Lonchura striata: one gene and its partner. The protein of the gene in region 1 purifies or fractionates together with the protein of each later gene. This does not show direct contact. Links are inferred from orthologs where the notes say so. Each region holds a gene or a part of one and is shown on either strand. Other genes may lie near its edges.

What was found.
Region 2: the proteins of BRMS1L (region 1) and SAP30 purify together in Homo sapiens (affinity purification with mass spectrometry; 4 studies listed by BioGRID and IntAct, with this or other methods). This does not show direct contact. The link is inferred for Lonchura striata from reciprocal best matches to the Homo sapiens genes BRMS1L and SAP30.

The regions. Positions count from the first base shown.
Region 1 is NC_134608.1:25,087,253-25,099,250, reverse strand, and holds the start of BRMS1L (breast cancer metastasis-suppressor 1-like protein), read left to right. Parts: upstream 1-6,272; 5' UTR 6,273-6,376; coding exon 6,377-6,512; intron 6,513-10,941; coding exon 10,942-11,032; intron 11,033-11,998. UniProt on the Homo sapiens protein: Involved in the histone deacetylase (HDAC1)-dependent transcriptional repression activity. When overexpressed in lung cancer cell line that lacks p53/TP53 expression, inhibits cell growth.
Region 2 is NC_134606.1:36,157,347-36,169,054, reverse strand, and holds the start of SAP30 (histone deacetylase complex subunit SAP30), read left to right. Parts: upstream 1-5,922; coding exon 5,923-6,228; intron 6,229-7,498; coding exon 7,499-7,621; intron 7,622-10,201; coding exon 10,202-10,300; intron 10,301-11,708. UniProt on the Homo sapiens protein: Involved in the functional recruitment of the Sin3-histone deacetylase complex (HDAC) to a specific subset of N-CoR corepressor complexes. Capable of transcription repression by N-CoR.

The DNA of each region.
Region 1 (11,998 bases):
ATAGATCTTAAACCTTTGAGGTGTATGCACTGAAGAGCTATTTGCCCACATGGTCCTTCAAGAGAAGAATAAATTTAAAAGATTTTTTTAAAGGTGTCACTGCTTCTGATCTTTTCATATTTAGATTCACAGTGTCCTTCCTATGAGGGTTGTCTTGCTTTTGAGAAAGAAGGCTCTTTAAATTGTGCTGTGGACCTATGAGTATGTGGCTTTGTCCGTGCAGCAGTATTCCTGTTCATTGTACATAATAAATTTTTATTTAATTTACTTTATGAAAAAGGCCCCCAAAACTAGATATTTAAATTTGAGTAGCCAAAACCACAGCTCTGTACAATTTAATACTAGTGTAACATATTGATATTAGAGATTTTGCTACTTTCACCTAAGCAGTCAAATATCAGGATCCTCTAGTATTTTTCTAGTGTAATAATAATGGAACAGCTAGCTATCCCTTCAACAAAATCCTCTTACTATTAAGATGATGGTTCCCATGATTTCCCACTGCATTTGCAGAACTCTGTATCTCACAGATAAAATCTGGAATTTATGTACTTCTGTGTTTAAGGGAAGGAGCTTTTCAGAGTTTATACTCTGCTTTTATGTCGTTAGCAGTGTATCAGCATTAATACCTCTGTGTTATACAAAGACATAACACTGCAGTCTTTCCAAGCACTGAAGATCACAAGTTTGAATAAATTTTTCCAAGAACTACAGAACTCATGAAGCCAGATTTCCTCCAAATTTGTATTCTAGCCACTGAAAGCCATGACTTACCTCCCTTCACAACCATAACCCTTTCTTTGTTTAGTCCTCCCCTACCTGTTCAGGATGAGCAAGAGGCTGGACTTCAGTTAAGTCTTAAACTATATGTGTAGTTTATCCCATCCTCAGTCCAGGGAGAGACCTTCTGTCAAAGGGCCATTGAGTCTCAGGCATGACTGATGAAATTACATCATCCCATTGTGAGAAGCTCTGCCCAGGGGGAGAAGCCAAACATTCCTACCTAGATAAAAATCTGAGATTTGGAACACCAGGAGGACTTTTTTCCATCAGATTCCCAGAGGAAGACCAGGCCCATCTACACCAGCACTGGACCTTCAGAGGTAAACTATGCCTTCTACAGGACCACTGCTTCAACAGAACCATGTCTGTCACTCCAGGAGGACTGCAGCCACCATTTAATGAGACTGCTGCCAGCACCCTGATCAATAGGGTGTCAGGTTGTATTCTGACTCTGTCAGTGGTGTGGTTTTTTTTTGGGTTTTTTTTTGTATTACTGCATTATTATTTTAATTTTCCTAGTAAAGAACTGTTATTCCTATTCCTATATCTTTGCCTGAGAGTCCCTTAACTTCACAATTCTAATTTGGAGGGAGGGGGTTTACATTTTCCATTCCAAGAGAGGCTCCTGCCTTCCTTAGCAGACAACTGTCTTTGCAAAACAAGACACTGTCCCTTGGACAAAAGCTAAGTGAACACATATCCCTCTCTGGGACATTACTAGGTTTTGTTCCAAATGCTGTTTCGCAGGACATGAAGAAACTTGGTATCTTTAATACTCATGCTCTCATGTAATATAAGATCAAAATCAGACAATGGCTTCAAAAGTAGCAGGGAGAGTGCAATTGAAAAAAAAAAAAAAATCAACAAACCTCATACCAACCAAATAAACCACCAAAACCAACAGACAACCATTACCTAAGTTTTGTTTCCTTAGCATGCTAGGATTGTGTCAGCCATGTTCAAAGAACAGAAAGTGTAAAGGTCCTGTCACAACCAGAAACTTTCATACACGTGGAAGTTATTTAAAAGTCACCTCCAAATCACAATGTTTGAGTTCTAATGTAAGCACTAGCACCCATATCTGATAGGAAAGAGCTTTTGAAATGTGAATACTCTGATACAGTGGAAGTTGCAACAACTTTTCTTTTAACCAAAAGTAACACGCAACCACCAAGATGTTTTATTTTTCTTTCCCAACTTCTGAAATAGCTTTGCAATATTGACAAATGCACAAAAGAAACCCTGTGCATGTCTGCCAGCCCCTAGGGGAGAGAGAATTTTGTACAGAATTCTGTTCTATCAAAGGAAACATTTTGCCCCAATCTCTCCTGTTATGTCACCCACAGGAGGAAAATGGATATTTTGGAAATAGGTCATATCTCTTTGCATTTATTTTGATTGGTAAAACTTTACACCTTTTGCAGCATGTATCAAAGTATTTTGCTTAAAAAACCCCCATGATCAGAGGAATGAACTTCATCCAATAGCCTTCAAACACAGCTCATAACTGGTACTCCATGACTGCTGCTTTAAATTGCTGCTGATCTTGACTTGCATGCAAATAGTCTTTTCAGAGCTCTTGTGACCTACCTCCTAATATTGCACTTTCAAATTGAGGGTGAAGAATTAGATTTAATAAAGTATCCAGAGTATATTTTTTTAGTGATAGAAAGTGAAATAATTTTGTTTGCTAGAATCTAGAGACCCCAGGGCAACCACTTCTTTTTGGCTAATAGGTTGCTCTTTGGCACCTTTGGAGGACCTCACCCCAACATCCAGACTTGTGATTGATGACCAGTCCAAGACTACCAGTCCAAAATGCTACATCTTTGAGATGGGAGAGACTCCAAATGAGAAGTTATTTTCAACTCATTAAGATATAGTGCACTATATTGCACACATGGTAAAATTTCTTTCATCCCTGCTTCTCCTTCAAGGTTTCATCTATACCAGTATCCTAATGACTCACATTATATATATATATTTCTGGTTTCTCCCTTTACAATCTCCTTCTTGTCAGAAATACTTAGTTACTATGCAACTACTCACTACAACAAAAGCTGGCAATCAGGTTTATAATCAGAAAGTCAGGATCTGCATTTCAGAGTCTAAAGTGATACATACTCACCGCCTCCATTCCATAAATTAGGTGTAAAATTACAGCTTTCCTCCCTAGCTTTTTCTAAAGGTGTCTAAAACTGGGAAAGGAGATACCAACATCTGTACTAGCCAACATTTTATTTATAGTAATTGTTATTGCATCCAATTTTTTTCAATGCTAGTTTTCCAGATTTAATTTTTATATGGTTGCCAGTTATCCCTGTTAATGGTATCTTTCTGATTTTTGGAAAATACCACAAACCGCGCCCCCCCACCCCCAAACTGTTAATACCCACCTCTCCATTAAATGCAGATCTGAGCAGATGAGGATTATGACAATCACCTTCTTAATAGTTATTTTACTCTAATGAAGGGCATAAGTCATGATCCAGAAAAAAAAAAAAATCACACCTTTATAGACACATAACACTTGCATTTGCTTATATTGATGAAATGGTCATTCCAGAGACTGGTGCTCTGGTAGTTGGCTGGATTCATAAATGTATTTATACACACTAAACAAAAATCTTTGCAAGTCCTCTAACAGACCACGTAGAATTTCATCTTTCCCCACCTCTTCTAGCATTTGCCTCTAGAGATCTGATTAAGATAGGTGCTGTCACTTTATATGTTAAGGGCTTATAAGTGATCTGATAAATTAGCTTTATAGTCTGGAAATAAACTGTAAGCTGTCATAAGCCTTGTGCCCATATGTAGTGCCCAGAAGTACCCTTTGCTCTTATGTTTTCTAGCACTTCATTTGGACAGACAAGTTAACTTCAACCAGTACTTTTTTTTTTTCCTCCACACAACAGATTGCTTTAGCTGGGTAATCCCCCCCTCTCCTGGCTATAAACAGAATAGAACCATGTGGAGTTGTGTGTTGTTAAAAAAAAGTTTCTGTCTTAACTCCTTATCTTGGTTGCTTATTTCAACCAGGGCATGAAAATTTTGATTTCCTTCTGGGGTTTATTTTTAGCTCCTTTAGACTTTGTTCCAACTGTTTGAATAGGAAATAACAATCAAGCCAAAGGTTTCCTGTTTTCCTGCCATTCCTTTCCCTGCAACTATTTCCAGTAGTTTTGTTTTGTTTTTGTTTTTGTTTTTGTTTTTTTTTTTCCTAGTCCAGAACCTTTGATTTCTAGTCTTTTTATCTTCCTAATCCAAAAGGAAACACTTGAATTGGGGATTGTTAGACATTTTTACTTCTGGTTTTGTGTTTTGTGGGTTTTTTTGTGATTTTTTTTTTTTCCCTTTCTGAATCCCTATGGATATCTTGAAAGAAAATTCAGATCCAACTGATGAAATTTCTAGGTTTTCTTCTGGAATGTCTCCTGATGTTGTTCCAGGCCATCTCCTAGCTCCTTTCAGCCATTTGACTACCAGTTTAACACTTTAACCAGGCTCCCTCAAAAGAATACCAGATTGGAGAAAAAAAAAAAAAAAGTACCTTGGTAACTACTTTGGTCGGTTTTTAAAGCTATGTGAACCTGCACTTGGCCAGGCTTCGGGGACTCACAAGTTTCCTGGCAAAAACCTGGGGACAAAAGTTCAGCTGCTGTTGCTCCGTTAAACAGCCAGAGCCACGTTTAAAAACGCTGGGCCAGGCCAGCCCGGCCCCTTATGCCGAGGTCCGGCCGGCCGGAGCTCGCCCCGCCCCGCACGGCCGGCGGTGCCGGGAGCCCGGAGCGCAGCGAGGTTGGCAGGCGGGAGGAAGGGATGGCGGCGGATCTAGGAAAGCACTCAGGATTCCCACGCGGGCTACAGTTATTTTACAAGTCGTAGGTTTGTATTAGATGTTAGGAAGACATTCTTTACTGTGAAGGTGATGGGGAACTGGAGTGGCTTATCCAGAGAAGCTGTTTCCATCTGAAACCATTCTATGAATCTATAAAGAAAAGATGAAAATCGTAATGGGTATGGAGAAAGGATGCCAAGTGGTGCTGCGTCCATTTGTGATTAAAAAGCCAGAGACAGCAAGAAGAGAAGGGATGGAGTTTGCACACCGAAGGGTGGGAGGTTAGTTATGCCTAATTTTTCTCTCACTGCTCTTGGAGAAGAGGTGGCACACCTACATACACTCCTCTTTGGGGAGATACAGGGAAATTACTTGCATTGGATATACAGAGATGTGGGAGAAAAGAAGTGAGTAATGTACAGCAGTGGTTATTGTGGTTGAGGTGGGCAGCTATTGCTGTGGAGGTGGAAATCCATAGGGAAACACAGAAGTTAACTGCCTCACAATATAGCCTCCATAATATCCATCCAGACAGCTGAGAGGAACTAAATTTGGACTTCAACATGAAGAACTGCACCTGCCAGGCACACACAACTTTTAACTCCTTTGAAGTGGCACATCACATCACTGAGACACACTGTGCTTTTCTACTGCTCTTTCAGCTGGCCCAGATATCAAGAGTGAGCCTGTGCAGTACAAGTGAGCTCACCTTCGGCCCAAAGCTATCACCCACATGCCCTGCAGGCCACAACCAGCTCTGTATTTCAGGACTCTTGAGGATCCCTGCCGGACTCCCTTGTGCCAAGGTCCTGAGGTGAAGCTAATCAGTCCCTCACAGCAACAGGACAGTTCAGACAGCTTTTTCCAGAAAGTGTCACTTCTATTCAGTACATCTTATGTACCGCAATTAACAGCAATTGGTCAATGAACAGATAAGTACTGATACTCAAAGCCAAAAAAATTATCCCAAACCTGCACAGATTGCAGATTGTCTCTTTAGTCAGTTCTCATATCCACTCCAGTGGACCGCTGCCACTTCCAGTTAAGTCTGACTTTAAAGCATATCACACGTACAGGACAACATAAGACACTGGGGAAGTAGCAAGTTCTGCTGAGGAGGCCACTATTCATAGAATCATAAAATGGCTTGAATTGGAAGGCACCTTAAAGATCATCTTGTTCCAAAAGCTCCTGGAACACCTCCAGGGATGGGGTATCCACAGCTTCTCTGGGCAACCTTTTCCTCACCACTTTCACAGTAAAGAATTTCCCCTCAATAACACAAGGACCTCTCCCCTCTGAGATCCGAGTCATAAGGGACATCTTGCCAGCATGCAGAACTCCTCGGCAGGAGAGTGGTGGGGCCACACGTGAGGCAGGGAACGGCCACGATCGAACCCCCACCACACAGGGCCACGGCCTCGCTCGGCGTCCTGCGGGAGACGCGGGCAGGTACGAGACTCTGCCTGGCCGCGATGAAGCCTCTCTCGGCACCGAGCAGTCCCGTGCGTGTCCCGGGACAGGAGAGGGGCGCGAAAAGCCGCCGCTACGCACCCGGCCCCGCACAGCGCCCTTCCGGCCCTCTCAGGGCGGACCACAATTCCCAGAACGCCGCGCGCGTGGTGACGCCAGACGGCGGCGGGACTTGGCCAATGGGCGGGCGCGCAGGCACCGGGCGGGGCGGAGCGGCCGGTGGCAGCGGCGGAGCGGCGGCGGGAAGGGCGGGCTTGGGGTTCCACAGCAGCGGCGGGGACGATGCCGGTGCATTCCCGGGAGAAGAAGGAGAATAATCACGATGAGATGGAGGTGGACTACGGAGAGAACGAGGGCAGCAGCTCTGAGGAGGAGGAGACCGAGAGCTCGTCCGTCTCCGAGGAGGGGGACAGCTCAGGTAGCGCAGCCGCCCGCAAGGCAGCGCCGCTGAGAAGGCGCCGCGGCGGCTCCTCAGCGCTCGGTGCCGCCCCGGGGACACACCGGTTCCGCCCGGCTCTGCTGCTGTCGGTGTGCCCCCTCCTTCCCCTCCCCCCGTGACCCCGCCCCGGCCCAGCCTCTGCTTCAGCGGCTCTTCTCCGGGCGGCCGGCCAGGGCGCAGGAGCGGGGCGGGGCGCACGGGCAGCGGGCCCCGCTGCGCCCCGAGCCCCGGCTCCGGAGCGGGCGGGTACGCGGCCATGGCGGCCTGGGCCGCGCTCCTCCGCTCGCTGGAGGAGCGTGGGTTGTGCCCTGTTGGCCTTGAGTGCGTCCTCGCTGAGGTCTCCACTTAAGGGCTTATATACATACGTGTGCATGCATGAACACGTGTGTAAGTACGTATTTCCATGCAAGCTCACGAAGTTCAACTAGGTGTTTTAAGAACTGTCTTTGGGGGGGATATTGGAAGCCTGTTAATACCACTGCCCTCTTTTGCAGAGCACTTCAGCCTCTGCTCAGTTGAGCTTCCCTTCTTATTTCCATACTTTCCATCTGGACTGTAGATTTTGAATTACGTTAGTAGCTGAAATCTAGCTTTAAATGGATCACTTTTTCTATGTTTCATTTACACTTGTTATTAAGAAGGTTATTATTAGCTGTTCTAAGTTTCCTTCTAATTACTACTTTCTGTGTTTGATCTTAAAACATGTTTCCAGGTGATAACTGGTAGGATTAGTGATGACATACAAGACAGTGGATGGAAAAGAAGTTGGACAGGGTTAGTGAATTGAGAAAAGTCCTGATGTCGATGTGGACTTGGGCCAGTCCTAGTCCTGACATGTGGTTCTGGCAGCTTAAGTGATTTAGTGCTGAGGCCCCTATATCATCAGATTAAAACCATAGAATATGCTGAGTTGGAAGGGACCCAGAAAGATCATTAAGACCAACTCCTGACTCTGCACAGAACACCCCAAGAATCACACTGTGTGCCTGAGAGTCTGGGATTAGGAAGAAGTAAGTGTGTTTTAAGTGGATGTAGTCTGTTCATTTTTCTTTAGAACAACACCAGAAGCTCTCCAGATAATTTTTGTTGCATTCCACAGAGACTTGCTCTTAAGGGAGTACTTAAAGTTTGATGATGACAAAAAATTACATGGTTGTCTCAGTGTCTTGACTAATATCAACATACTCCTTGTAAGCTTTTTATTCCTACAGACTTAAAATGATTAGCACCCCAAGAAATAAGTCTCAATTGAAATTAGTAATTAATTTTTTGTCAAATTTGTAATTTGCTTTACTTGCACAAAAGGTGCTGTTAGAGGAAGCATGACCGTCCTTGAGAGCTGTCACTCTTTCTATATTGTTAGTTTTGATGTTATGTATTTAGTACAGGTGTTTTATTGACTTGAATATGGAATAGTTGATACGGGATGAATTTAAAAAGCCACAAGTTATGCTTGCTATCCCAGAGGAGAATTTGGCCATTTTTTAAGCACTTTATATAGGCCACATCTTATTAAAAAAAGCTGTTACATTTTAAGTGCTGTGTGGATTTTTTTATCTTTAAACCGTGTTGCCCTAATTGCTGTGTTAGACTGCTTGAGTATAGTAGGAGAAAACAACTGGGATTTTGAAAGTGTTTTTAAATGCCCTAAATACTTTTTGCAGTATGAAACTGTATGGTAAATCTGAAGTTTTGAGACAGGTCAGGCCTATTAGCAACTGTTTTAATATGGAATGAGCAATCCTCCATCTCCTGTGATGTAAATTTTCAATTGGAAAGCCATGAGATTTGATTTTACAACATTTTATGTTTTCAGTAATTCATATTCCATAGTTTGTGTGTTGTTTAAGACCATGAGGAAGAAATTCCATAAATGGGGAATTAAATATATTTCAGGACTCTGAAAATCTTCACCATTTTATGAATCTTATTGAAGGAAGAATACAGATGATAACATTGAAAAGCAACTTGGCATGTGAATTACCATTTAGTATGAATGATAAGGGAGAATTGAAGACTTCTAGGCAGAAAGTCAAAGTATTTGTAGCTGAGAGGAGATTGGAGGTAGCTGTGGTTTTTTTTATCTACAAGGAAGTCAGCTATACCCTCAGATACCAGTGAATATCAATTTCCTTGCAACACAAGTTAAAAATTTAAGATGCAGTCCCTTTCCCCTCCAACAGTGGGTGTGCTCTGATCCTCATCCAGGATTACAGTTCTAGTTTTCTTTGCTTTTTACTCTCTAAACATACACAAACAATAACATCCGTGTTAATTTAAGAAGAGCTTTTGAGTGAACTTACTAAAACATACTTAGAATTAAAAACATAGAAGAACACATTTGAAACATATTTGAGAATAAAGGGGAAAAACTGTTGGTATGCCAGTGCTTGTTCCTGTTTAGTTTCACTGGGAAGTGCCTTCACATTTTAAAGAGGCTTCATTTTTGTAGCACAGAAATGCTTTGGGCAACTCTGGATAATACGATTGCCACATTCTTTAAATCTGCCCAAATTATAAATCACTACATTGATTTTGTTGTGGATATTGTGTCAAACAGTCACATAAAACTTTGTTCTTTCATGTGATTTTCAGCCTTATTCTGGGATTACGGTTTTGCCTTACTTTTGAGAACAATATTTTAATATAAATAGTATCTCTTAATGGCCTGATTGTTCTTCTCCCACTCTCCCCATTCATTGCATTTTTTTAAGCTCTGTCTCAAATTTTCTTGCTCTGCTTTCAAATACTTCAGGTTATATTGTGTTTTAAAACTTCCTTTTTGACTGTAATAACAGTACTAGGTCTTTAATTGGGACTCATAGTTTGCCATTGTAATACTTATTGGTATTGCTGTGCTGACTGCTGGTTTTCCTGTCCAGGCAGCGAAGGTTAGTATAGTTTTTTAGTCTTAAAAGCTTGTGATGATTTCAGGAAGAAGTTGAGTGCTGAGAGGTCTGAGTAGACAATCTGATTTAATCAGATCTTTCCAAGTAGCAAGTGGGCCTGAAGCTACTCCTTTCACCTCATCAGCTTTACAAATTGCCATACTGGTTTGCAAAACAATAAGAATAAAGAATGCTGCATTCTGTAGTTGGTGTAGGAGACAGCATAAAGCAGTTGAACATGTTCGTTGGAAAAATGAGGCAGAAACAAAAAGCTCAGAGTTGTTTATAGGCTAAAAAAATGATCCCTGCTGGGTTCAGGATCCTACTTTTCCTCTCTGTCAGGAGGTAGGATTTTTCTTGCCAAAGTGCTTACATAAGTAAGGGTTCCTTAGGACAGTGCCTTCTCTCAAGCATCTGGCTAGTTCAGTTACAGCTCCTGAGTGCATGGCCATCCCTTCTGCATGCCTGCTACTGGTTGATAGTGGTCAGCTGTAGTGTAACTGTAGAGGGCTAATTCTTGCAGATACTGCTGTTATAAAGCAGTTTCACTTATCTGACTTTGGAATATGCCTTAACAAAACCTTTTTTCTTTTTTTTTTTTTCTGGGAAGGCTGGGAAAGTCAAGAATTTTCTATCTTAGTTTCTCAGTTTTCTAGTCTAAGGAAGGCCAATGGAGGTAACAACGGACGTTTAGTAACATTGGATGTCTCAATGGCAGTGTCAAAGATTTGGCAAAAAATTTTGTGTTTATGTTGTTTTATCTTCCCTAGGTCCACGAAAAAGAATCAGGAATATAAATAAATCTGTGAAAAGAGTTTACACAAACTGCTCTTACTGCATAAAAGCATATAAAGTCAAGTGCAGTGTTCTAGACTTCTCAGGTTAAGAAATGTTTCATTGGAGTGATTTCAAATGCTCATTAAAATGAACTGCAGATATTTTTACATTAATATTTCAACTTCAAATAAGTCTTCAATTTGGACAGGTTGAAACTTGTTTCAAAATTATATGTTACTTTTCCTTTTAGGAATATGAATAAAACAAATCTTGAATTTTATCAGACAAATGTAACACTGGACTGTGCTTGCATTCCAGGGATTGCTTTTGTTTGTACTGACCCAAGATACACTTGAATTTTCAGTGGTGGCTTATAACTGCTCATGCTTAATGTTGTCTTTAATTTGGTGTGATATACATAGTTTAGTTTTTCTGTTTCATGCATTCTTATGTATTCTTTGTATTTCAGTCATGAAATTACCCTCTTGAGGTCTTACAGTGCTGTTATTTCCTGTTTTGAGGAAGAAGAATTGCTGTTTATTGCATTCATTCTGGAATTAGGTCTAGGTTTCTTTCTTTGTAGTTTATATGCCAAGTGATTTCTCATATTATGCTTTATGACAATAATATAAGAGGAAAACTGTTCATGGCTATAATTCAGGCACCCTGCCCCTTCATTCACTAGAAACAAAATATCCAGTTTATTTGGTTTATATTACATAATTTTTTTTAATTATTCTTAGAAATGGATGATGAAGACTGTGAAAGAAGAAGAATGGAATGTTTAGATGAAATGTCCAATCTTGAAAAACAATTTACAGACCTTAAAGATCAGTAAGTATTTTAATGTTTTGAGTGCCTCGTTTGAGGATCCATTCCATGAAAATACTGTATGCATCTGGTGTTTCTTGTCTTTCTCCAAAAGTAGCATGTGGATGCTGCTTTTGGAGAAGAGTAAGGACTGGAAATTCTGAAATTACTTGCGGGCAGATGCTCTAGAATGCTTCTGTGTATTCATGTATTTTTTGTTTTACTGTAAGGATGGTTTGAAATGTTGTTCCTGTGAAGAGCTAGTCTGGGTCTGTTGCATGAAACTCCCTAGTAGAACGAAGGAATTGGGATTTTAGGGAAATTTGAGATTTTGTTTAATTACTTATTCATTCTGTATAATTCTCATACTTTTATATATGTGGGACAGACTGAAGTACATTGTCTTTGCTAAGTAAGGAATTAGATTGTTTTTTTTTTTTTTTTACTGCAGCAGTTTATATAGTTGGTACCAATGAAAGTTTCTTTTGATTGCTGCAAACCAGGTACCAGTACATGAGAAAATTAAAATACTGTTATCTCTGTCTGCCATAATACCTACATAAGTAGCTAGTAAAAACCTACTTAAAAGAAGAGATAAGCTTAATAGCCACAGTTATTCAAAAGTGATTGTCATTTGTATTACAGCCTGTCATTTGTATCATAGAATCATTAAAGTTGGAAAAGACCTAAAATCATGAAGTCTAACCATTTACCTATGTCTCTAAGCACCACATCTGTGCATATTTTTTCACACTTTTAAGAATTCCACCGTTTTCTTTGGCAGCCTGTTCCAATGCTTAAACAGAATAAATTTTTTCTAATATCCTATCTAAGCCTCCCCTGGTGCAACCATTTTCTCTAGTCCTGCCTCTTGTTACCGGGTAGCACAGGCTAACCTCATCTCGCTACAAGCTTCTTTCAGGTAGTTGTAGAGAGCAGTAAGATCTCCTTGAGCCTCCTTTTCCCCAAGCTGAATAACCCCAGCTCCCT
Region 2 (11,708 bases), on another chromosome or scaffold:
GTTAATGTAGACATTGTTAGGAGAATAATTTTTTCTGTTACTTCTGGAAACTACTGCTGTGATATGTGTCATAGAAATTACCACAGGATACATAGGTGATCTGAGACTAGAAAGAAAATGCTCATGAAGTTTTCAAATTGTTGATTGAATCATGAGTCTCATTTTTAGTCATGGTTCCCATGGGATTTTCCAGCAGTTGGTGATATAAATGTATCATTTCCTTACAGCACCCCATTGCATGCCCTACTCTATACTGCTAAAGAACTTTACAGTAACAGGGGAGGTTGAGCTTGCTGGCATATAAGCCTATCTGTATCTTTTATGCAGGAGCTCTGCAGGAGGTCAGGAAAGCATTTAAACCCCAAATGCATGTGTAATTTTATTGATTTTATTTTTATGAAAGTGTCTGCATTAGTATCAGACTATATTGTTTTTACTGAGGGAATCCAAGTATCTAACTGATGGTTTGGTGGAAGAAGTGTTCATTTGCTCCCAAGAGGCATTTAAAACTTGCTGTTAACTTCACCTAGAGCGAAGTCAGACCTAGAGATGGTTATAATTGAACTGCAAGGACAAGGGCACTCACTCTAAGAGGCTCTTAGGGCTACAGAACTTTCCTATTTTCCTTTCTGTGAAACAAATGTGTACCAGAAGAGGACATGATGGTGTAACAGAGCCCTGTAGGTTCTAGGATCCTCTGACAAAACCTGAAAAAACCTCTGACAAAACCTGAAATCTGAAGATGGTGTAGTATGTGTTGTACAAAACAAGAGGTTAAAACCATTGTCAAATCTGAATTTATATAACAACAAAACAATAGCTCACAAAATGCAAGACTGTAGCACAGATGACAGTATGTAGAGTGCTTTTTGTGGTATCAAGAGTGCATTAGAGACCAGCAAAATTTGCTGAAAAGATATGACAGTTTATCTTACAGGGAAAAAAAATCTGAGCAGGTTTTTTATTTCATTTCAAGGGACTGAAAAATAACTTGTAAGCAATATACCACATTGGTCTATTACTAGTAGTTAAATTTTTATTGCATTACACAAAACCTCTGGGGGTGATACTCTTCCTCATTATGTTTCAGAGAGCTGCTTTGTATTTCTGAAGAGCATGAGTGAGGATTTAATGGAGTCTCTGTGCGATCTAATATAATGTGAAACAAAATGTTAATCAAAGCAACCTGGATGAACAAGAGATCAGTGGCTGTGAAACAAGCAGAGATAGAGGTGCACTTGGGTTGAGTGGAGACTTCTGGGGGGTGGGGAGGGGGTGTTGAAACTGAGGAGTACCTAAAGCAAAGCTGGAGGTTGGCTCCTCTGCTTTTGGGTGGTCATTGTGTTTGAGCTCCCTCCCCTAACTCATCCTTCATTGCTTAGGCCCACCAACAAACAATTTGTCAAGTACATTTAACAAAGAATATAACATATTTTTTGCACATAAGAATGATGCCTTCTACCAGAAGATAATCTCATGCTTCCTGTAACTAATGGCTTATTATGAAAGAGAAGTTGCACAAACCATTAAAGGGAGTGTGTTACAAAACTTTAAATCTTTTACAGTACATTGGTTTTTCACTTTAAATCCTAAATTATTCTTAAAATGTGTAGTTTTGGACCTTCTTTACTGCTTAAAATCTTTTAATAAAAGCCTTTGTTATATATATTCTTTTATACAGCTTGAGTTTTCAGTGTACAAGGCCAAATGCTTATAAAAGAAAGACTGGCTTCAACTCAGTTCAGACCTGGAGATAATTCTGGTTAAAGTTATGATTTTTTTTTTTTTTTATTACTGCACTTCTTGAACCATATAAAATAAGGTCTATGTGTATTACTAAAACAGATTAGGTTTTGTTATAAAATTAATTATCTGAATTTGTATTTTAACTATCCTAGCCTAAAACATATAAAGTAAAAAAAAAAAAAAAAACTGTAGGCAAGTTCCAATATTCCTAAGCTTTGGGTCTATGCTTTAACAAATTTGGACAATAAATTGGAAGCAGAGCAACAAGCAGTAGGAGGTTAGGTGGTGCTGGAGTGGGAAAGGAAAATGAGGTATTAAAAAAATCAGAAAAAAGTAAAAGGAAAGATAAAATTAATAGCACTTATTTCTGGTAAGGAAGATTTGGCCACTGTTCTTTATATCACAGCCCATGAATGCTTGCTTATAGATTAGGTTGCTTTTTTATTAAAATGACCAGAGTGAGTGGTGGAATTTGCAGAATTTTTCAAATGTTTTAAAAGAATTTTTTTTCACTGAAGTAGTTACAATATATAACAAATAAAATGTGTATTTGCTGAGAAAAAATGCCTACCAATAGTTTTCCTTATTATTCCTTTTGCTAAGAGGATAATTTCAGGTGCTGAACACAAGTGCACTAATGTACTCTTGGACTTCAAGTGAAAGGTACCTGCTGGGGAAGAGAATCATCCTCCCCAGCTGAACTTTATGCCATGGAAATGCATACAAAGTGGCAAGAGCAACATTTATCTTCCAGGATTGATTACTAGTAATGCAATTACTAGTAATTTGCAATGTGCTTTCAATATATCCAAGGTGATGTATCTGATTATCATTCTTCTCTCTCAAATTACAAAACACATCAGTCAAAAGCTAACAGGAGCTGGGACATATGGCATCTCAGAGAAGAACAAGCTGCTGGGCTTCCACCACTTAGAAAGATGTGCTTGGCCTGCCTCAGTGCCAGGAGGGGCCACTGAGTCCTGCTGACTTCAGAGCCTGGGAGCTGTGAATTCAGACTTTTTGGGATGCTGTAGCTCCTGTTCTTTCTGCATGTCACAAGTCATCCATGCTGTGTTCTTGGTAGGCCCAAGGGATATAGATTACTGCTACCTTCTGTACTACTCAGCTCTGCTGCAAGTACTAGTGACACATCATGTACAGGGCAGTTGGTTTGGAGCTGCTGTTTCCTTTGAACTGTTTTAATTTTTGAAGTTTAATCAGTATATGGTTGCAATCCTGCATGTTTTTATGCTTATTTAAAATATGTCCCCATACATGCTTTATTTAGTACCCAGTACTAGAGTTTGTATTAAAAAACTTAAATTTTAGACAACATACTCCACAATGATTTTGCTTTTTATTTAATGTATCCCAAGCTTCATGAAAGTTTGTAAATCTGTTTTGTAGTAAGCTTCATACTTTCTGATAAACCCATGTAGCTGCAGTTCTTTGTATTTTTCATCCCACGTGTGATGCAAGATTAAAAGTGACATGATTTCTTTGTTACTGTAAGCAGGCGTTCATACCAAATGAGGTGGTCATCCCCTGTCAGAGTGCTGCCCTTCTACTGCACCATCCCGGGTGCTGGGGCATCTTGCAACTGAGTGGTAAAACAGGTCAGGATTAAATCTAAACAATTTTTCTTGTTGCTAGCTTAGTTGTAACCCAATACAGTTTGCTGTGCAGCCACAGCAATATTTTTATGGGCACAAAGAGGCACAGGGCACAGGTGCGAAAACGAGCAGCTTACAGCAGAAACAGAACCATCTTTCTAAGTCCCACGACTCTCTTATCATGACCTAATCATGAAACTATGGTACTACTTTACTCGAAATTACGCTTATAAATTAGCATCTTGGCAAGCACGTCTGGGTAACATAGTCAGGCTTTTAACTGCTCAAAGAGGATCAGAAACATTTAAAATGCACACGTGATCTTTCCATCAAACCAAACAACAGCAGCCAGAGCCAGTCATAATATTTTATGCTCATAGTAAGGTCAAATCCATCTGAAATTTTAAAAACAAACAAATAAATAAATAAATAAAAAGGGACCTCAGAAGACATAGTCCAAGAGTCTAGAAATTGCTATTCATGACCCAGATTTTCACTGAAGAATTCCTGGAACTCACCTTTGTCCCACTTTTCCCAGATTTTAGCTTCTGCTATGATATTGGGGGTTTTGTTCTTTTTTATCTTAATATTACTACAGATTTCAAAAGTTTGAAATCACAAGAAACTAAAAAAGTGAGTCAAACCTTTGCTGCCTGAGATTGTTCAGCAGCAGAGCATGGAATTAAACCTAGTCTTCAGCTTGGCTGATAACAAAGCAGAGTTCAGTATTTTTTCCAACTCTCCTCCTATTCCGAACCTCGCTAATCACCGAAACGTGCCTCGGAGAGCTGCTGTGCCTGTGCTCAGGGTAGCTTCAGTTTCTGTATCCTTCATTCGGTTGCGACAGTGGGACCAGCCCTTATTCTCTAATACCCGGTTACGCAATCAGATTAAGGAGCCATCTGCAGCACAAACTGAAACTGCTCTATAATCGCGTTCTCGGCTCACGCAGAACTTTGACTTACGCAGGATCTGTGTCTCCTTGAATTATTCACCAGCCTCCCTGCTACTCCTTCAAGCTGGAAACGCACAGCAAGCGATACGGTCAAATATTTCAGTGATTAAATCATTGCGCTTTGAGCACGCTCAGCTCAAATGCCGTTTCTGAGATTTAAAGGAATATCTGCGGTAGTTCAAAGGGAAAGCAAAACCTCTCCCTTCCTTGTGCCTCCTTTGAATGTGCTTGAAAAGACAGTAGATCAGAGCTTGCTGCTTTTGCCACTCTGCTGTCAACAGCTGAATTGTTAAATGATTTAATGCCAACGCATCTCTTGTGTAGCTTTGTAAAGCCTCAAAACTAAAAATACCTGCTTTTGTCAAGTATTCACAGAGTGTCTATTTTACCCAGCCGTGTGCACAGCAAGGTCTTGGTTCATCATTAGCGAAAATAATTCTGCATTCTCAAGGCTTTCCTGTTGCTACAGTCACCTTTACTAACAAAATGTCTTTTTAAATGACAAAACTAGAAACTCGCACTGTACGTCGCCTTTGTCTTCAAAAGGCTTTGCTACAGGAACGCAGGACGGAGCCCTGACTACGTGTGTTGTAAGATCAGCCCTAACAAAGGCCGGAGCTCCGTTTGTTTTCTGCTGAGAGCCGCAGAGCCAGCGGCTGCGCGGCGGCTCCCGGGGAGCTGCCTCCCGCAGGCGGAGGGGCAGGAGCGCTCGGACAGAGCCCGCCCGCCCTCTCCGGGAGCCGCTGCCAGCCGTAGCCGACAGTAGGCGGAAAGTAGGAAGCGAGGCAGGGCAGAAATGTCGAGAGGGAAGGCACGAGACAGACAATCCGGAACCAACAGCCGGAGCAGTGCCGGCTTCGGCTAGAACACTAGAGCGAGAGCAAGTGAACGGGGGGAGCCGCTGCGGCACAGCGAGCCGGCGGCGGAGGCCACCGGGCCCGCGTCGGTAGGAGCGCGGGTACGAGCTCAGTCGTGCCGGCGGCAGCTCCGACCCGTGACACTCTCCGCGGCCGCCCTTCCACATCCCACGGCGGAGCCGCCGGGGAGGCGCGGGAAGGGGGAAAAAGAGAGACTGACGCACGGGGCTTTGCAGCGGGCCCAGCCTGCAGACGGGATGAAAAGGCAGCGGAGCGCGGCGCGGGAAAAAGAAGCGGCTGCGGCAGCGAATGCTGCCCCCGCCGCTGCCTCGGCCGCGCTCCCGCCGCGCGGTGCGGCGGCGGCCGGGCAGGAACTGCGCTTCCCGTGGGGCCGCGCGCGGCAGCCGGCATGCGCGGCGGGCGGGCGGGGCGGGGCGGCAGGTTGCTGTTGTTACATAGGAAACAGCTGAAGAGTCTCCACATGACAGGGGGGGAAGGAGGAAGTGGGGCGGCCCGCGGGGCTCTGCCGCCGCTGCTCCGGTAGTCGCGGTGCTCGGCTGGCGGCTGCTGGCAGGGAGAGTCCTTCCCGCGACGCGTGGGCTGACCGCCCTCGAGGGCGGACTTGCGCCCCGGTGCCGCCGCCGAAGGGAGGCGGGCAGGGAGCGGGGGAGCCCCCCGCCGGGCCGCGGCGCCTCGCCGGGGAAGTTTGGTGCGGGGCGGGATCCCGCCGGCGGCGGCGGTGGCGCCGGGCATGAACGGCTTCGCCCCCGAGGAGGTGACCCAGCGCGGGGCAGACCCCGCCGCCGCGGCGGCGGTGGGCGCTGCGGGCTCCGCCGTGGAGGTGCCGCCGCCGCCGGCGCCGCCGGGGCTGGGTCCGGCCGCCGCCGCCGCGGGCTCGGCGGGCGGCGGGTGCGCGGGCGGCCCCGGGGCCGGGCAGCTGTGCTGCCTGCGGGAGGAGGGGGAGCGATGCGGCCGCGCCGCCGGCAACGCCAGCTTCAGCAAGCGCATCCAGAAGAGCATTTCACAGAAGAAGGTGAAGATCGAGCTGGACAAGAGCGTAAGTCCGCGAGGGGAGGACGCGCCAGGGCTGCCGGCGGGGCGGGCGGACAAAAGCGGCCGGTAGGTCGCCGCATCTGTGTCTTAGCTGGCTGGGGGACTTTTCCTCAAGTTTGGTGGGGAAGGAGGGGAGCGTGGCGGCGGGGAAGCGTTCGTTCCCCCTTCCCACCTCTTTTCCGTAGCACGGCCGAGTTGGGCTGGCGCGGCAGGAGCGCTGCCTGAAAGTCCCTCCGGGCGGGGGGCAGCGCCCGCCTTTCCTGCCTGCTCCTGAGGTCCCCTGTACCCCAAGAGCCTGGGCATCGACTGCGTGTGCCCCCCTGTAGCCGGAGCCGGGGGTAAGCGTGGCCGGGAAGCGCCGCTGCCCGCCGGAGCGGAGCGGAGCCTGCATGGCTCCCGGCGCGCTAGTTTGTGTTGCTGGCGAGGGCCGCGCTCGCCGCCCCGCCTCGTGTTGCAGCGCCGCACGTCTCCGGTGCCGCTTTATCTCCCGCTCGGCAGCCATCGGGCCCCGCGCGGCCGGGCCGGGCCGGGCCGGGGCCGGCCGCCTTCCAGCGCGGTGCTTCGCCCGGGAGCCCGGAGAGCGCCCGCCTCGCCGGGTGCCGCGGAAGGGCGAGACGGGCTGCAGCGTGGAGCTGCCGGCGGGAGCGCCCCGGGCCGGGGCTGCGTGCGCCCCGAGAGACCCGGCCCGGTGCCCCACGCTGCAGCCCGGTGCCCCACGCTGCCCCGCGCTCCCGTTCGCCCTGAAAGCACGCGGACCGGGGCGTTCCGGGCTGGCAGCGCCCGGATCTCCCAAAGCGTGCAGAGCCCCACGAGTGGGAAACTTGTTAAAAAGAAAGAAAGTAAAAATAAGTGTGTTGCGTGACCGTGCCGGGTAGCGGAAGTAAAACAAGGAGGGGAGGATATAGCTGGGGAAACGAGAGCCGTCTCTTAGCCCCGCAGAGAAAGCTGCGAGCTTGTTTTTTGTTAGCGTGCCGCCCGGCCCCCGCGGTGCGATGCGCGGCCGGAGGGAGGGAAGGAGGGAGGGCTGTGCTGCGTGGCTCCACAGCCTGGCACTGCTGCATCGGCCCATTGCAGCATTTCAGCGAGCTCGGGGCCCAGCCGGTGGCGGGGAGCCGCAGCGCAGCTCGCTCTCCATTTACAATAAACCAGTGGAAAAGCTCCCTCAGCCCAGTTAATGTGGCTGTGAGTGCTTAAGGGTTGTCTGTCTACGTGCACTTCAGTCTGGGAGATACACTACGTGGGTTTAATTGAAAGATACCGTTTTATTCTTGTAGGCAAGACATCTGTACATTTGTGACTTCCACAAAAATCTAATTCAGAGTGTGAGAAATAGAAGAAAGAGGAAAGGCAGCGATGATGATGGTGACTCACCAGTGCAAGACATCGATGCTCCAGAGGTAGCTGAACAGTTGGGTTTTTTTTTCAAGTTATTGTCTTAAGCTTCTTAATGACACTGAGTCTGCACCAATACCACTCTTCCACTTCTGCAGCTTTGCCTTACGTGTAGGAAAGAGAAGATTCTTGATTTGCCCTGTTTTTAATATAACGGAATTTAACTGAATTTTTGTGGTGTGTTTTCTGATTAAATGGTGCATAGGACAATGAAAGAGTCTCTAAGTGTCTGATGCTTCTCTCAAAAATCTACTGTTTTAAGATTTCTCTGAGAAATCTACTGTTTTCCTCCTTCTTACTGTTTTGCCACATGCCATCGAACTCTTACCTTTTGCTGAAGCTTACAAGCTGAAGGGAGTTGCACAGAGTGCTTAGGATATAAATGCTTCTCTGTCCTGTCCCTTTTGTGCTAAATGTGTTGCAGGTAGTTCTAGGCAATTGCTCCATTGCCTTAGTCACTTTAAAGACTGAGAGTTTAATGATGGTAGCTTTGTTTCTGCCCACTGTGGGGGGAAGAACCATTTGGAGAGCTCTGCTATGAAGGAGTGGAGAAATACGGTGTCTTTTAAACCTGTTTTCTCCACTGCACACCAGTGAAATCTGACCCATTAACTAAAGCGTTCAACCTTTCTCATAGTGTAATGGGTCGGTCTTGAACATAAGGCTCTCTTTTTCTTACACATGCTCTAGGTTATTTTTGCTACAACGTTGCTTAGCAGGTGCTCCACAATGTGTTAATTTTGAGCAGAGGCTTATTATGCCTACGTGGTTCTTTCTGAGAGGGATTGTTAAAACATTCTTCAGAAATCGCTCTGTAAGTGTTAATGTAATGGCATCCTTATGGTCAGCATCTGCAGATAACAGCAAGTAAGTGAGTAAAGTTTGTGCAGGAATCTGTGCCTTCAGGCACGAGGCTCCAGTCTGAATGTTCTGTCTAAGAGGATTTTAGGAGATTGAAAGTAGTTTGATGCTGAGTGGTGTTGTCTGTCTGTTAAATATCTGTGATTGTTTCTTGGAAAGTTCTGTCTAAAGCTAGTGCTGTGAGTGACTTCAGGTAGCTTTCTGACACTGTGTAATTGCAGCTCTCCTGGGAGCCTGTTTTGTTTTCTTATGCCAGGATTATAAAACATGTCACAACTGATGGATATCTTCAGAACAAGAAAACAAGCCTTTTTTTTTAAACAGTATTATTACAAAAGAGAAAACTGGGAACTGTTTTTGAGAAGCGTCAGCTGGCTGTTTGGACAACGGCAGTCTGTTCTTTCCTTGTAATTACTGTGTGCCTTAGATACTTGCTTGCTCTTGACCACCTTTATTTTCAATTGTTACCCATTTTGCTAAAGAAAAAAGTATCATTCTTCTGAAGAGTTGTAAGGCTCTCCTGCTCCATCTCAGTCGTGGCTCTCTTTAGGTTGGAAACGATTCCTACAGGAGGAAAAGAAACTCCTGCAGTCCTGGTAGTTTCTGGAGCTTGCTGAGAAGCTGCTGCTCCTCCATGATGCTGCAAGGGTGGCTTCCCCACTGTGGCTTGGGAAGTGTAATTTAATGCCATGTAAACTTTAGAAACACCAAAGGATACCATCCTTTATTATGCAAGGTGGCCTCACTTCGAGTCTGGCCAGGTTGCCAAGTGTGCAGTAGCAACTGCTGTTTTTAAGTGTTCTGCAGTGAGGCTGTTAAATGAATATAAAGCAAAAGTGAATGCCTTCATCAATCTTTAATGCAGCGAATTTGGAGAATACTATTGTAATTGCAACTGACCTAATAGAATTTCTCATTCAGCCTGCTTTCTGAGCTTGCTCTCCCACTCAGTCATCTGATTAAGCTCTCTTAGGTTGTCAGGGAGGATGGGAAGGGTAAGCTGTTGCTGGGAGAAGTGGCTGATCAGAGTACATAGGATTCAAAACTGACGGAGTACTGGATTAAGGCTGTGTATTTGTATCCCTGAGAGGACTTTGTGTAATTCTCTCAACAGGTGAATGACATTGAGAAAGAATTTTGGACATTTATGCCCATGCACATAACTCCTGCATAATTCTTGTGTAGCAAGGATACATTTGGAAAGCAAGAGCAGTTCTTTTCTTTTCTCACCTCAAATCAAGAATGTTTGTGCTCTAGACTCTGTCCTGATTCTAATATGTGCTCTTTCATGGTGCATGGTGTCTTGTATGTAATCTACATAAGATGTAATGGCTGAAATTACAATATAGGGGCCTCCTTTGGATCAGCATCTTTATAGATGTTATGTGATAGTTGCTATTTGGCTTGGTGTTATGCTGGAACTGAGAAGCAAACAAAAAATCCAGAATGGATGCAAGTACAATAGTGAGTTCAAAATAATGTCCACAGCTAAAGGGAGGTAGAAGCATGCTCAGTAACAGCAAAACACTCTTTAAACTGAGCTGGGCTATTTTCCTGTCTGCTAGAAGGTTTGTTTTTTGTCAAAATGACATCTGCTGAGCTGACTGTTTACACTTGCATATCTGTGAGTTTCCAAAATGTTTTTGTGAGACAAACTATTAATGACTGAATTTTTTTCAGTTATATTAGATTGTTTTCTTCCCCTTCCCCCTCTTTTCTTCTAGGTTGATTTATATCAGTTACAAGTAAACACACTTCGAAGGTACAAAAGACACTTCAAGCTACAGACCAGACCGGGTCTTAACAAAGCACAGCTTGTTGAAGTATGTATGAGTGTTTCCCATAATAGAAAATGCAACTTGCTGTGGCATGTCGTTTTCTTTACACTGTGATCCTTGCATAAAGTGCCTATATAATCTGGATTTTAGGAGAACAAAAGGGAGCTGCTTATCTAGCTTCCTTCGTTGGCCACAGCTCCTGAGCCAAGTAAATGAAAAGTAAAAGCTCTTTCCAGAGGAGGGACTCTTAACTTCCAAAACGAGTGTGTGCTGCTTTTAAACAGTGTTGAGCTGGAACAGTAAGATGATCTTCATGCCCCTGAATATCATAGAATCATGGATTTATTTTGTCTGTGGATCAATCACAGCTTCACCAGAAATGTCCTACTGAAAAGAACTAGAAACTGAGAGGTGTCAGTGAAGTTCTGGTGAGGTTCAGACTTTGCTTTAAACACCTAGTTACTGTAAACATAGGTTTCTGTATGTGTAAAGTACAGAAACCTGAAGAAAGTGCTTCTATTGATAATTATGTTAAAACCACTGGAATCTGCTGTCAGAAAACGGGAATTATATGGAATTTACTGTTTCCAAAAGTGCTGAAGCTGCATGTCAGTGCAGCTGGATGTTAGCACCTTTGCTTTGCATGAGTGCAGCCTTAAAGGAATTCTTTAGTGCTGCAAAGGTGCAGTCACAGCATATTGATGTAAATAAGTGGAAGAGCTGGTGATCTTAACAGGAAGGTATAGCTACTGACTTTTCACTTTTGTGCAGTGATACATTCAGCTGTATTTAAGTGCAGACACTTGTTTTCATCTTTTCTTGATCTGTGTGGATTGAAAACAAGGCTCTTAAAGGTATGGGTGATCTCAAGGCTGAACTGTAAAAGAATGTAAAATCAGTCTTCCATTTGCTTATACGTAGGTTAGCTCTTGAATTAGAAGGTCTGTGAATTGAAAAAGCACGAGCAGTTTTTGTTCTGCAAAACTGGTGTTTCGCAGGGACTGCTTTAGGTGCATGTCCTATGTTACTTGCACTAGGTTATTACAGTTCTGCTTGGTGTGCATGGGCAAAGCTGCTTCTGCCACATGCTTGATTTGACTGACCTGCAGGTATTTGTGAGCTATAGCCACAGAGCTATCTTAATATACAGTACATTTGATTCCTTGTAATCCGTCCTAGCATACTGTAGACACTGCTCTAGCTGTTACTGAAAGTTCACATTACTGTGTCAGACTGCTTCTCTGTGAATGCTTTTGGGGTAGAGTTTAGAAAGTTTCTTAAATTTTAGTTAGGCTGAACATTTATTCTTAGATCCTATGGTGCTTAAGTGAGCAGTCCCATGTTTTTCACTTCATCCTTTTAGTCTACCAGTCTGGCAAGAAGCCAGAGAACAAATTCAGTTGCAATATTTTGCTACTTTCTTTTAAAGCTGGTGTTCATTTTAAGAAAGGGA